Linked DNA regions of Schizosaccharomyces pombe. Changing the gene in region 1 together with any one later gene gives a genetic interaction. Each region holds a gene or a part of one and is shown on either strand. Other genes may lie near its edges.

What was found.
Region 2: of rhp6 (region 1) and swi2, changing one suppresses a phenotype caused by changing the other (phenotypic suppression), as found in Schizosaccharomyces pombe (one study listed by BioGRID).
Region 3: of rhp6 (region 1) and cdc17, a mutation in one rescues a mutant of the other (synthetic rescue), as found in Schizosaccharomyces pombe (one study listed by BioGRID).

What each region holds. Positions count from the first base shown.
Region 1 is NC_003424.3:303,679-307,262, reverse strand, and holds rhp6 (ubiquitin-conjugating enzyme E2 2), read right to left. Parts: upstream 1,658-3,584; 5' UTR 1,541-1,657; coding exon 1,499-1,540; exon of another isoform or gene 1,452-1,498; coding exon 1,387-1,451; exon of another isoform or gene 1,207-1,386; intron 1,174-1,206; coding exon 1,053-1,173; intron 948-1,052; coding exon 844-947; intron 796-843; coding exon 672-795; 3' UTR 501-671; downstream 1-500. Other genes in the region: U3 snoRNP-associated protein Lcp5, read left to right, coding at 1-299; protein pat10, read right to left, coding at 2,234-2,263, 2,308-2,344, 2,403-2,492, 2,532-2,589, 2,728-2,800; SPOM_SPAC18B11.09C (serine O-acetyltransferase activity), read right to left, coding at 3,244-3,411, 3,470-3,547.
Region 2 is NC_003424.3:3,628,505-3,633,266, reverse strand, and holds swi2 (DNA recombination mediator Swi2), read left to right. Parts: upstream 1-1,808; 5' UTR 1,809-1,925; coding exon 1,926-4,094; 3' UTR 4,095-4,252; downstream 4,253-4,762. Other genes in the region: noc201 (Noc complex Noc2 family subunit), read right to left, coding at 1-1,731; SGT2 family TPR repeat-containing protein, read left to right, coding at 4,381-4,483, 4,524-4,762. UniProt on the Schizosaccharomyces pombe protein: Required for normal mating-type switching.
Region 3 is NC_003424.3:1,385,880-1,391,127, reverse strand, and holds cdc17 (ATP-dependent DNA replication ligase Cdc17), read right to left. Parts: upstream 3,244-5,248; 5' UTR 3,185-3,243; coding exon 3,102-3,184; exon of another isoform or gene 3,062-3,101; coding exon 2,554-3,061; exon of another isoform or gene 2,492-2,553; coding exon 776-2,491; 3' UTR 511-775; downstream 1-510. Other genes in the region: SPOM_SPAC20G8.02 (DDHD family phospholipase), read right to left, coding at 1-491; mitochondrial dihydroorotate dehydrogenase Ura3, read left to right, coding at 4,287-5,248. UniProt on the Schizosaccharomyces pombe protein: DNA ligase that seals nicks in double-stranded DNA during DNA replication, DNA recombination and DNA repair.

The DNA of each region.
Region 1 (3,584 bases):
TGCAAAAAATGCGTGAGAGGATAGAGTATGAGGAAAGTAATTATACTCGCCTTCCTAAATTATCGAAGAAAGATTTAAAGAAATCTAAACGTGTAAAGAAACACGATTATGGTGGTGAAGACTGGTCATTGCTTGATCGCAAATTCCATGACGATGACTTTTCAAATCGTAAATTAGACCTGACTTCTAGAGCTAAGAGACGTGCTAATTTTGAAGACGTTAACGATGGCTCATTAGCTTCACCTGTTCAAATTGGCCAGTCATATCGTAAAAGAAAGAAGAATTTGAAACGTCGTTAATCATTATTTTGGGAACAGCCGTTGAGGTTTACTTAAAAAAATTGACCATATGTATTTAAAAAAATGGAGTTTTTGCGCTTGGTTTGGTATTTTTGTGTGGTTTAGGGCAGGTTATGTTTAATAAGATCAATATAAATTTTGCATGTACATGTCTGTATATGTGATTAGTCGCACATTAATATAGTTTACAAGTTCTAAACATAAGGAAGAAATCATTCATTCGTAGATGTAAACAAAAAAATCTTAATGATTTACTATAGTTACAATTTTGGCAACTTTGAAGCACTTAAATAGATTTAATGTGAAAGGCGGTTGAAAAAGAAGAGTAAGTTCTAATGAAATAGGGATTATTAAGACAGCTATGTCTTGAAATCAACTTTCCCAGGAGTCTTCTACAGTTTTTCGTACTCGACGCACATACTCCTTCTTGTTTTCACGATGCAGCTGAGCAGCTTCGGCATTTGCAGGGGACGCATTATTTGGATCATTAAGTAAGCTAAAAGTTAGTTATGAGAAATTTAAGTAATATTTCTGAAAAGCAAACCTTTGAATAGAGGTAAGAATTGCTGCCACATCGTAAGTTGGAGACCACCTGTTTTGCAGAATGTCCAAGCAAAGTTCGCCATTTGCGTACACATTTGGATGGAACTAAAGCCAATAAGTAAGTAAACAAAAAAAACCAAGAAAAAAGTAAATTACAACAAATCAAATAATCTAATTTAAGACTTGTCTAAATACAATGACTAAGCATACCATTGTGGAGACGAATTTTACAAGAGGAGGTTTATTAGGATATTGTTCATCAAAAGAAAGAACCAACTTAAAAGTTCCATCTTCAAATGGAGTGTCTGCTGGGCCAATGATAACAGCATTCCTGCTCAAATGGTTAGTCCAACATCAATAATAAAAAACAAAAGCAATCAATCCAGAAACCAACAAGCATAAAAAGATCGCTTCTTGTAAGAATTTTGAAACGATCTCCTTCCTAAATATATGGCAAAAAAGGCATTCAATATATAGCACATATATTCACCATTACGTTGCATAACAATAAGAGAAAAATGAATTGACATAGGTAAACACTTACCAAAGCATTACATTGTCAGAGACAGGGGAAGCTGAAACTCCAGCAGGAGGATCTTGCTGCATCCTCTAAGAATTGGTTAATATAAGTCTTCTCGGATCCACAACTGCCGTACCTTAAAATCTCGCATGAGACGTCTTCTTGCGGTCGTTGACATTTTTATAGCAACCTCTCTTCTATTTGTGATAACTTTAAAAAAAAGTTGCACAAATATCGATATCGCCTTGGAATTACACCGAGTTAGGATATCCGATTTGCGTTGTTGGAGAAGGGCAGGGAACAATAGTAGGACCATTCACTCATATGCAGTATTTCATTATTAATGGGGCGCACCCAACACGTTAAAATAATAAAGTGCACGCTCAGTTACCTTATAACTAGACCAACCTTTTAGTAATGTTCAGCATTTGCAATGCAAGTCTGCTTTAGTATTAATGAACTACTACTTCATTTAAATTATAGTTAAAGATAAGGAAAGTTGATATTTTTCATTCAACCATTAATCATAATCAAGGTCCGTGCATTTGTTAACGGTAAACTGTTGAACATGTGAAAATTATATATATTTACTTTAAGCCTTTGTTCTCATTGGGTTTAAAAAAGCAACTAAAATACATTAGGAAGAAAAAATGAAAGAGCAACAGGATGTAAGAAATAAATTTACATTTTCACTAGCTTAACAATGAGAAAACACAAACAGCCAATTTTTTACGCGTCTGCTACGTGATTGAAATGGTAGTTAGAAATGTATCTGAACTCTTCACCATTAGATATTTACATTGTGCATAAATTTAATTATCCAGAAAAAAATCAGCTTAATACTCTTATTAATTCACTGACTTAAAAATTACTAAGTTTTGTTTGGAGTATTTAAAAATTGCTGCACAAGTTAATCGACAAAGTAAATATAAAAATTCAACTTACCGGTAAATATGTTGACACAAGAGCCGCGATACCCATACTGATCAAATGTTAACATCCATAGAACTACATTAATGCAATGAATTAGGATTACTTACAAAGCCATTGAAGTCGGAGATGAGCTGGGAGACGTATTTGCGTTCAGTAAATTTGAAAAGGTTAGGATAAAAGCAACCCATGCAATTAATCTTCTCGTTAACATGAAAATCCTAAAATATCTTACATACTTGAAACGAAGAAATAAAGCAGCCATACACGTGGCTGTGCTTACCAAACTCAAGCCAACTATAATAGGGTTAGCAAACTTAATAAATTATTTGACGAAAGAAAGGATTTAAAATATTCCACAATGAACTAAAGCTTGAGCGATTAAATCAGCGTAACTCACGATTGGGTTCAATTTGAAAGTGCTTTCTACTTTACCTTCTTCATTTGCTTTGACTCTAGCTTTGTAGGGAACGATTAAATCAGGTCGTTTAAGTTCTGCAGGCGCCATATTTTATGAATTTTCGTTGTCGAGACTTCAGAACTGGTGAATGGGATGGTTCCTCTACAAGAATATAATGAAGTTAGTAATAAAATGTGTAAAATGGTTTTAGGTTAGGTTATTTAGCATTCAAATATATCGTGGGGGTTAAGAGTTCTTATCCCACTAAGAATTTCAACTATTTTAGACTTGGCTAAGCATTAGAATTAAAATCGATTGCAGTACCACGTGGGGGCTTTAGCAAGTCATAGGAGGAAACTGATCCTACTTGGCGAGTGAGAAATGGATTTCTTTTAGCATTCTAAGTCTTCTATATAACAATTTAAAGCTCAAACATAATATAATATTATTTATACTATTTTAAAAATTTAGGAACCAAGCCAGGTGAACTTAAGAAGTTCAAAGAGCATTTAATCGTTAGATGAAATAATAAAAAAAAAAATTACACTCGTTCACTCGTTTTCAATTTTACGAATAGGTTTGGCAGGTGATCCTACAGCCAACGTATTAGGTGGGATGTCTTTTGTAACAACAGCACCCGCTCCAATTACACTGCCTTCCCCGATAGTAACACCTGGGAGAACTATAACTCCCATACCAATCCAAACATTGTCCTGAATCTTGATAAAATTTTGTTTGTTAGTTGTAAGATGTTTCAATAACTGGACTAACGCATACGTTAATTGGTAAACCAAATTCAATTCCGGAGTTCCTTGCTTTAAAATCCAAGGGATGTGTTGCTGTACATAGTTGAACCTGGAAAGACACCATTAGTATATTTATTTTTTGAATG
Region 2 (4,762 bases), 3.3 Mb from region 1:
CTCAGGGAATGAAATGTCAGTGGCATATAAAACATAATATTCGCTCAAGAGTTCCAATAATTGATCAATTAAACCGTCCTGGTAGACCTTTGTTCTTAAGTATGACGAAGATGCACGCAACTCAACGTCAAAATCCAATGGCTTAAGCGTACTAGCTTTGGCTTTTCTTGACACATAAGAAGAATCCAAGACCTCGAATAGCGAAGGTGCAAGAGGGATAAACACACCAGTATGGCGCGATAAGTAAATTAGACTTCGGATGATGTGAAATCTCATTGGAAATAATTGCGATGACGGTGAACTCATTATAACTCCAAGGGCTATTTGGACTAAAGGATAGACCAAAGATTGTAATTCTGAAGCAACTCCCTTTTCTCTACTCAACCAGGCTGCTTGACTCAATAAACGAGCCCAAAAGTCTAGAGAATGCACATAACTCCAGCTTTGAACAGGCTTTCGAGAATCCTTACTAGGTTGATGAATGGTGTTACGAAGAGTAATAGCAAGTTGTCGAATGTAACGGAATCCGATTAAATAACATGATTCAGCGTCCAATAAAAAAAGATTAACAGCACTATTTTTCAGGAAATTAATTTTATCGAGTGTATGAACGGTAGTGTAAGCTGATTGTCGAGCCATACCAAGATAAACCTCTTTTAAAACGAATTCCAGCAGAGTTATGTCAGCTGTCAAGCATAATGTACGAAGCAATACAACAGCTGAAAACCGAACGCTGTCATCACGAGTCGAACTCCATACTTCAACAGTTGCCTGTGTAAACTGTTTAAGGAATTTTCGATAGGTAATCATATAAGGCAATACATTCTGAGCTTCCCGAAGTAGTAAAGAGATATTCTTGGCATCGGTCATCCCTTCTAGCAAACGTAAAATCGAAAATCCATAGGATTTTAACACAGGGCGTAGCTTCGGAAGCACCTTTGAATCAGTGTTTATAAATTTTTTTCCTTTCGCATCCTCTTGAATGGGAACATGATAATTCAACACTTTGGGGACGTACTGGATGGCTAACAACAAGAGGTCATTGAAAACTTTTGAATCGCTAATAGTGTATTTCAAATCTTCAGCCTCCTCCTCATTTAAGAATGCTGCTGCCTTAAACGCTTGCACGACCTTTTGTAGTGTGGTCAATGAATGGTTCGTCTCCAAAAGCTTTTGCCATTGTTGAATTGTATCACTTGTCAGAACGATTTTTCCGCTAGAAGATTTCAAACGTTCATTCTCATCAATTTCCTTCGCCATTGCGTCTGTTTCAGCGGCGTTGAATTCAAGCAAGTCTTGGTCATTCTGCTCAAGGAACTTGTAAAATTCTGGATCCTTTTCCTTTAGGCCTTCCAATTGCTTTTGATAAGATTCCAAGCCATCCTCTTCTTCTTCCGATGATTCAGAGGTAGAGTCTTGTGTATTTTCATTTGGCAAATTTTTTCTTTTTCTTGAGGAACCTGCATCATTCGAATTCGCAGAGTCTAATTCTTCAAATCCGCCTTCCAAAAAAGCATCCATTGACATGGAGTCATCTTCAGAAGGGGTGTCTTCGCTATTCACGTTTTGAATAAACTTTTCTACGTCTCTTTTCAATGTTTCATCTTTTCCCTCCTTTTTAGAATGCTTTTGTCGTATGCCTTTATCAGTGTCTTTCTTTTTTATTTTGTCATTCTTTTTAGCCAAAGCATTAGCTTTTCTGGCTTTTATAATGGAAGATAACTTCACCATGTGTGGTATGTGCACAGAGGTTGTTAGAATACCTCCTTCAAGAATTAGTGCCCACCATACTCAGTCCAAATTTCTTCACAATTTCCACACCAAAGATATGTCCTTAATAATCATACTCCGGCAAATTTATTAAATGTATATTGCTTTGAACAGAATTTTGCTTTTTGAGAATCGTGAGAAACCTTATAGGCCTTATGAATGTGAACAAAAAGCAGGAGTCGATACCAGTAAACACCGGATCTGAAAGTATTTCCTCTAACGACAATGAAAGGTTTGAGCAAGGAAAGGGCGTCGGCTCAAACCTTGGATCCCATTTCTTTGAGCCGGTAGAATACTATTATTCTGATGGTAAACCGATGAATCAAACAGAAGCAAGCCAGATGAAGGGAACCTTTTCTAGAGATTTTTCTTTAAATGAAATGAATAATGAATTTATCACAGATTCTTTCTTTTGTACAACGACTCCTGATCCAAAAACTGAATCTCCCTCTTTTGTGAAATACAATGCCCATTGTGATGACCACCCAGAGATTAGCGGCCATGTGTCCTCGAATGATAAAGACTTTGCATACTTTGAAGATAAATCTGAAAATCAACCACTGGTTACTCTTCCTAACGAGAATAATCAGGTTATTGAACCGTTAAGCTCACAAAGTTGTAAATCTCAATTATCAACCCAAAATTATTCGGAAAGTGATTTTGGTTGGAACCAGCTGTGTGATCTCGATCCTATATTTAAATCTTTGGCTTTTACAGACGATACTAATCTATTCCCTGCATTTGCAGACTCTGAAGCCGCACTGATTATGCTGAAGAAAAGAGAAATGACGAGAGTGAAGCATAGGGCAGGAAGGCCAAGAAAGTATTCGTATGTTAATAAAGATTTGAACTTCGAGGAAGGATTGCCAAGAAGAAGGGGAAGACCTACAGGCTGGAGGAAGTATCCTGAAAAGGAGGAAATATATCCTACTCTGTCTCCAAGGATTAAGAAACCGAGAAAAGTTTTCGATGCTGTAGTCATTCCGGTTACCATAAAACCTAGTATATATACAGAGCCCTCGTTACCTCATCATATCGATTGGAACAATGGTTGTTCTGAGGAATTTGATTTTGAGCCATCAAGAGAGGATGAAGACTTCCCTGATTTAACTTCTGATTCTACTGGTCAAGATCCATTGTCTAGTGAGCCGACTATTTTTGACATTTCTCCATTACCTAGTGATATGGAGCCAACTTTTTCCGAAAATTCATTAATTACCATTAACAAAATGGCAATAGAAGAACGGAAACAATCACGTCGACTTGAGCAACCACTAGCTGAATCTCAACATCAAGAAGATTTGTTGAATCCCTACGGTGTAGATCAAGACTTTGATGAAACTTGCATCAATGAGTCTGAACAACAAGCCACGCATATTCCTAATTCAAGTATTAAATTTAACTATGATTACACTCCCCCTAAGTCTGCTACCTCCCATAAGCATAAGAGGGTCGATCTTCTAGCATCTCGGAAGGAGAATGTTTGGACTGGATTGTATGGGAAAGTACAAACTGAAATGGTTTCCAACAGAGGCGAAGCTGTGTTGAATGAAAATAATAGCAAAAATCGTACTAATGTCACTAAGCCGAATTCATACAAAAACAGTGTTTTATCAATTGGGAATAATCATTCAAACCATTCTAATATTATTAAACCGAACACCTATAAAAATACTATTTTGTCCAATGAGAACAATACTCCAAACTATTCTAATGTCTGTCTTTCTACCTCTTTGATAAATCGAAGCCTTCCATCTCTTAAATCTACTATGCACCCAGGGGTCAACAAAGATTTAATTACGCGGCCATTTAAGAATGTTAATAAAATGTCTGTACGAAAGGCTCTCATTAAACCATTTCATCCTCCGATTTCGAAGATTTCGCGAACCCGCTTAACTGTTTCCTCACCTGAACGGCTGTATTGTGCCAAGCCTATCTCAATGGCTACTGCTCCAAGTGAAACGGATAGCAAACTAATTAACAGAATCCGTAACCTTGAATTAGAAATTGGTGGCTTGAAAGAACAATTATCCGTTGTAGAGCTCGCTCTTGACACTGACAAAAATTCTAAACAGATACAGGTGGTTGAAAGAAAAATCCAAAATTGGCGAAAATCTGCGCAATTAGCAGTCGAAGTGCTATTTCCTGTTTTTTCTTTGAAGTTTACAACCATGCTTCAAGAAGTTCCACAGTCTGTTTTACGCACATCAGCTAATGATTTACGCACCAAGCCATGTTCCATTGGTACGTACCTTGAACAGTTGCAAATACCCTTCCATCTCCTTCAATATAATTCTGAGACAGAAAGCTGGGACCTGGAATAATATATGTTTTTAGTTTTTTCTTTGCTTCCTGTCTGTTGTTTCTATCTATTTTTGTTTTTTTTTGTCATATCAGTATTTTACAGTTCATGATTCACATTAAAGGTACTATAGTTATCTAATGTTATTTTAATAGCAATATAATTAGGAATCAAAAATTCATTTTATTATTTGCATGTTTACGTATATAAAAATCTATAACGGCGCTTGGAATAATTTTGCCCTTCGCGCATCTCACGATATACTTTCAGTAATACGAAAAAAATCGGTTCTTAAAACGATTAGGAAAATGAGCTCTAACAAAGTTACTGCGGCTATTATTGACTATTTGAAGCAAGCTATTACCACCGGTTCGATTTCTGAAGAAGAAAAGGAAAGCTTGGAGGTTGCTGGTATGTGTAACCCCATTTAAGATAATCTAACCAAAATCAGCTCAATGTATTCAAGATTCTTTTAAAATCAAACCAGAAGAAATTAAGCCCAAGTCAGGGGATCGTTTAGTTGCTGCTTTTGAGGAGTACGAAAAACTGCATCCAGTGGAGGAGGATTCCACTGCTCATGTTAATAAAGAAGAGGCTGAGAAATTAAAACTTGAAGGAAATAATGCCATTGCGGCAAAGGATTATCAAAAAGCTTTGGATTTATACACTAAAGCCATAGAAATCGATCCT
Region 3 (5,248 bases), 1.1 Mb from region 1:
GAAACAACGTTCACCGAATACAAATAATCCTCATTCACATTGACCGGTTCAGATTGACCGTCATTTTCTACAGCCTTTAAATAACTTTTTTCGATGTGCTCCGAGTCTTCAGCTGAAAAAGGTAAAAAATTTTTTGCTTTTTTAATTTCCGTCGGTCCCGTTCTTGATTTCCTAAGCGGTCTATCTACCGCATAGAACCAACGTACCCGCAATGAAGGAGCATCTGTCACAGATCTCGATAGCAAATGACGAAATGACAATTTGGGCGGTTGCACATGTTTCAATGGCCATTCTTCTGAATTATTCATAGCAATTAATGGCTTTAAAGCCAATATTGTAATTTCTTCTTGGTGTTTGCTACAGTGACATAAAATGTATATGGACGGTAATGAACACCAAGCATTCGTAATCCACTGTAAGGAGGAATATGACGGCAAAATAGAGTAAGGCTTGGTACGAACGTAAAATGGTAATACAATGTATAAAATCATATAAAAAGGATAATAAAAAGGGATAAATAAGATTCAAATTTTCAATCTAATGTTATAATTTGGAAATTCAATGTTGTTTATTATTAATTTTTTTTTAGCCACAGGGGATTACAATTAGAAAAAAATAAATAGTAGTAAGCTAGAGAAATAGCCATCAGCTAGAGCATAAACTCAATTTGTCTGTCTCTTTAACATAATTCATATTAGCCTCTTTGGGCAAATTTTAGCCGAACATTACCCTTTATTATGACAGTAGCTCTCAGCAGTAACTCTCAGCTACAAACTTAATAATCTTCGGCAGCTGGGGACCCTTCTTTTTCCTTTTGACTGTAAGCCACCTGCGAACGATAGAATTCTGAAACCTGTTCACTTGTTGTAGCATCCTCCCAGCTCTTGTCTTCCCGAATACGAATGAATCTTGGAAAACGTAAACTGATTCCTTTGTCCTCTTGAACATATCCAATTGCAGCTTTGTAAACCGGAGACAAAGATAAATCGGCAGCTAAGACTTCCCACAAGTACTTAGGCTCAAACCAGACGTCAGGCTGATGCGCAGGTACATCGCTATGAGCATAAAAATCTTTCTTTTTAGATATAACAATGTCTTTAAGTTGATTGTAAAAAGTTTCTAAATGCTCCTCTGAAAAACCAGTCCCGAGTTTGCAAATCGATTGAACTGTTTCGGTATCTGGATCGTAGCAGCCCAAAAGAAAGGCACCATAAACAGAAGTACGTTTACCCTTTCCGTAGTATGCGCCAATTACAATCAAATCCAGAGAATCTCCAACACCAGAAAGATAGTCTTTTTTAACTTTTAGCCAATGCCTGGAACGTTTTGACGGTTCATAATGAGAATCCGGGCCTTCAAGCATTTTGACCATTAAACCCTCACAAGAATCTTTGACAGATTCTTCAAGGAATTCTTCAATGGATTCAATAGACTTTTGATCGCTATGTTTAGCAAAAGTAAAGTCTCCAGTACTTGGTTGAAACATTGAGTAAAGTAGTTTTCGACGCTCGTTGAGTGGGGTTTCCAAAAGAGGTTGCCCATTTAGGTATAAAATGTCAAAAGCGAAAAGGCATGCTCGGACCTTAATGTCCCCAATTTTCACATCTTTCCTCTTTCTTGTTGCAAGTTTTTGAAAAGGTAAAATTTTGTTTTCATCACGGTCCCAACCGACAGCTTCGCAATCGAGAATAAAAGAACGAGCATCTGGTTTTTTCCACTTCGATACAGAAACAGAGATGTCCGGATAGCGAACAGACATGTTTTCAGAATTCCTAGAAAATACATAAAACTTCCCATCTTCGGTAAAATGAACTTGGGCGCGCTCGCCATCGTATTTGTATTCACATGTAAATGCGGCTTGATCAAACGTATTCAAAACTTCTGAAATTTGTTTCGTCGGCTTAGCCAGCATGGGTTTTGTTGGGATTCCAGGTGTTAATTTACAAGTTTCACGCAAAGTACCAAGTCCATGCTCAATCAAGTGAGGAACGATAAGGTCGTATGAAGGCAGTTGACAGTAAACATCTCGAAGAATCTGCTCTCCTTCAATCCTGTCTTGTTGCGAAAGTTTTTCTCCATTCTTATCAGCATGATATTGAGCGGTGGCATTTGCTAATGCTACTAAAATGGTTTTTTCGGCAAGTTGGAGGCGTAGCTTGCCTTCCAAAGCTCGAATCAAATATTTAGGTTCTGCACCTTCACAGGAACTCAATAGCCGCTTGATCACTCCAATTTTTCTATTTTGGGATTGGTTTCCGCTCATTTGAGCAATTTTTTTTAATGAGTCAAATAAAAATGGAATTGTCAGCGCTGCAGGTTTAAACATAGTGGGTTGATTTTGACGGGATGTTTGAGCTACAAGACCAAGATCACCAACTTTGTGAAACGATAGTTTAATCTGTTGAAGCGTTTGCCCTGTAGACTCTCCAATAGCCTTCATTATAATGCTTTCGCCAATTCCTAGCTCTAGTCCCGAGTAATCTGGGCCCAACTAATGTAAAAAAAGACGTTAGTACTGAGAAGGAGAAATCCTTTAAAACCAAACGTTCATACCTTATTGATACTTAAATACACACAGGCCAGTAAATCGCTGGGATGGTCGCGAAGAATTCCAAAAAAGTAAGTCCCCATTATATCAATGATTTCCAACCGTTTGCTAGTATTCTCTATTTTTGTGAATGCTTTTACCATTTCAGCAAATGTTGCATGACCTTTTAACTTATCATTGCGAGCATTGGACTCTAACGGTGGTTCTTTGATTGGCAAAGGTATTGGAGTAGATGCCCCAGAATCGTTGTTACTAGATACGGCATCTGAAGAAGAGGAGGATGAACCTAAAGTCTTTTGCTTTTTTGCCTCAGACACAATATTATTTTCACGCTCAACATTTTGAGTTCCAGTGTCGTCGTGGTTGTTGTGTTTCGACTCGTCGACTAATTTCACTGATTCGACCTTTCTCTTTTCGCTTGTGCTTCTCCCATCAACATTTTTGGAATCAGAAGACGATTGAGAAACCTCCACGTGCTCGCTTTTGTGCGAAGCAGAAGAAATGAAGAAGTTGCTATATGGGTTAGTCAACGTCTGTCTTCTATCTAACAAACCTAATGTCTGACTGCCTTGTCGACATCCGTATGTACTGATTGACTTGTTTAAAACGAGGAATTTGCGAAAATACTGTTCGCATAACAATCAAGTCAACGAGTAAAGAATTTCATAAGATTTGACAATAGTGAGGGTACACCTGAAGAACAAGTAACACGTGTACGATATTTGTAGTTTAAGGACAGTGAAAACGAAACCATTTTTTTCTAAGTCTATATAGATGAAATTAATTTTTATGATTATAACAGGATAATATAAAAGCTATTTATCATTGATATAGTATGAGTGTTCCTTGTCTCATTCATAAATACTATTGACTTAATCAACTCTCTCCCAACGCTCTGTACATCATAAATACAGCTAGAAAAAATGAGAAGTTGAATTGTATAGAAATGCTTTAGTCATACCAGAAATGAACAATTGCCTGTATCAACGAACGTAATAGAAACAATTTGGAAATACATTGCTAGAAGTTTATCAACTAGATTCTAACCATTTAAAAAAAAAAGAAATTTAAATCAACAAAAATTAAAATAAATTCCTAATAGGCTTATTCGCTAATGTGTAGTGGTTTGTAGTTTTTTTGCAAAAAGCTGTTCGCACTTGTTTTTCAAGTGGATTTTGTCCTTAAATTTTTAAAATTTTTCTTTTTCAAATTTTTTATGAAATGTTAATTCGAAAGCAAAAACTATCATAAAATTGTTTATAACCATCGCTTTATTTACAAAACTCATAGTCAAATTTCGACAGCCCGGCATTACTAAAAAAACATGTTACCTGTTACAGGTAACATTCAATATAAACATTCAATTTTTGATTTTTGTTCTTTCTCAGAGAATATACCTCTGCTAGCACTTGGAGAAATTTTTTCGGTTCTGAAATCTTTGTTTTCGTTGAAATCTTATTAGAACCAAGTTCTCCATTTTATATAAATTAACACTTCTTGTCTCTAGGTGGATAAAGAAACGGATTGACGATTCTGTTCTGATCCTTAAATCCATATTTTTATTTTTTGGTTCTGTTTATTTTTTCTTGGGTTTGTTGTGTTTGGAAAAAAACTGGTGTTTAAATATATTAAGCATAAACTATTATAAAACTTCATTTTATTATTTTATCATTCATATTTTTTTCAATTTCGTTTTGAAAATTTTTTATTTAAGCCGAATTCTATTAAAAATACTAAAATGTATCAACGATCTTTGTTTCGCGGTGTCGCTCAGGGTTTAAAGCGCTCCTCTGTACGTTTTCAATCTACCAGCTCTGGCTCTTCAAATGGCAATTTCTTTCTCCGTCATTGGAAGCTTTTGAGTGTTATTGGTAGTTTTACTGCCGGCGTTGCCATTTACGACATGTCCGATGTTCGTAGTTTTATCCATGGCCGCATTGAAATGCCTCTCTTTCATGCTTTCACCACTCCTGAGTTTTCTCATCGTGTCGCCATTCTCGCTGCCTCTTGGGGTATAACACCGAAGGATCGTGTAGCTGATGATCCATCTCTTGCCGTTGAAGTTTGGGGTAAGAAATTTTGCAATCCCATTGGTCTAGCTGCTGGTTTCGATAAACAAGCCGATGCTATCTCAGGTTTGTTGAACTTCGGGTTTTCCTATCTTGAAATTGGCTCGGTCACACCTAAACCTCAACCTGGTAATCCTAAACCACGCTATTTCCGCCTTAAGCCTGATTTGTCTGTAATCAATCGTTACGGTTTTAATTCTATCGGCCATGATGCCATCCTTGCTAAGATTCAAAAGCGCGTTCGCAAATACATTGCTAAGACATCTCCTCAACTATTAAAACAGTTTGATGCAAATCCCGCTTCTTGCACTGATCCCGCTGTCCTTGGCGTACCTCGTAGTTTAATTCCTAACAAGTTCCTTGGTATCAATTTAGGCAAGAATAAGAACGGTAACGAGATTGAGGATTATGTTGAAGGTGTTCGTACCTTTGGTAACTTCGCTGACATTCTTGTCATTAACGTTTCCTCTCCTAATACCCCTGGTCTTCGTAACCTACAAAAGAAATCTGCCCTCTCAACTTTATTGACTGCTGTTGTCAGTGAGCGCAATAAATTGAACTCTCCTCATCCTCCCGTACTTGTAAAAATTGCACCTGATTTGAACGAAGAAGAACTCACGGACATTGCCGA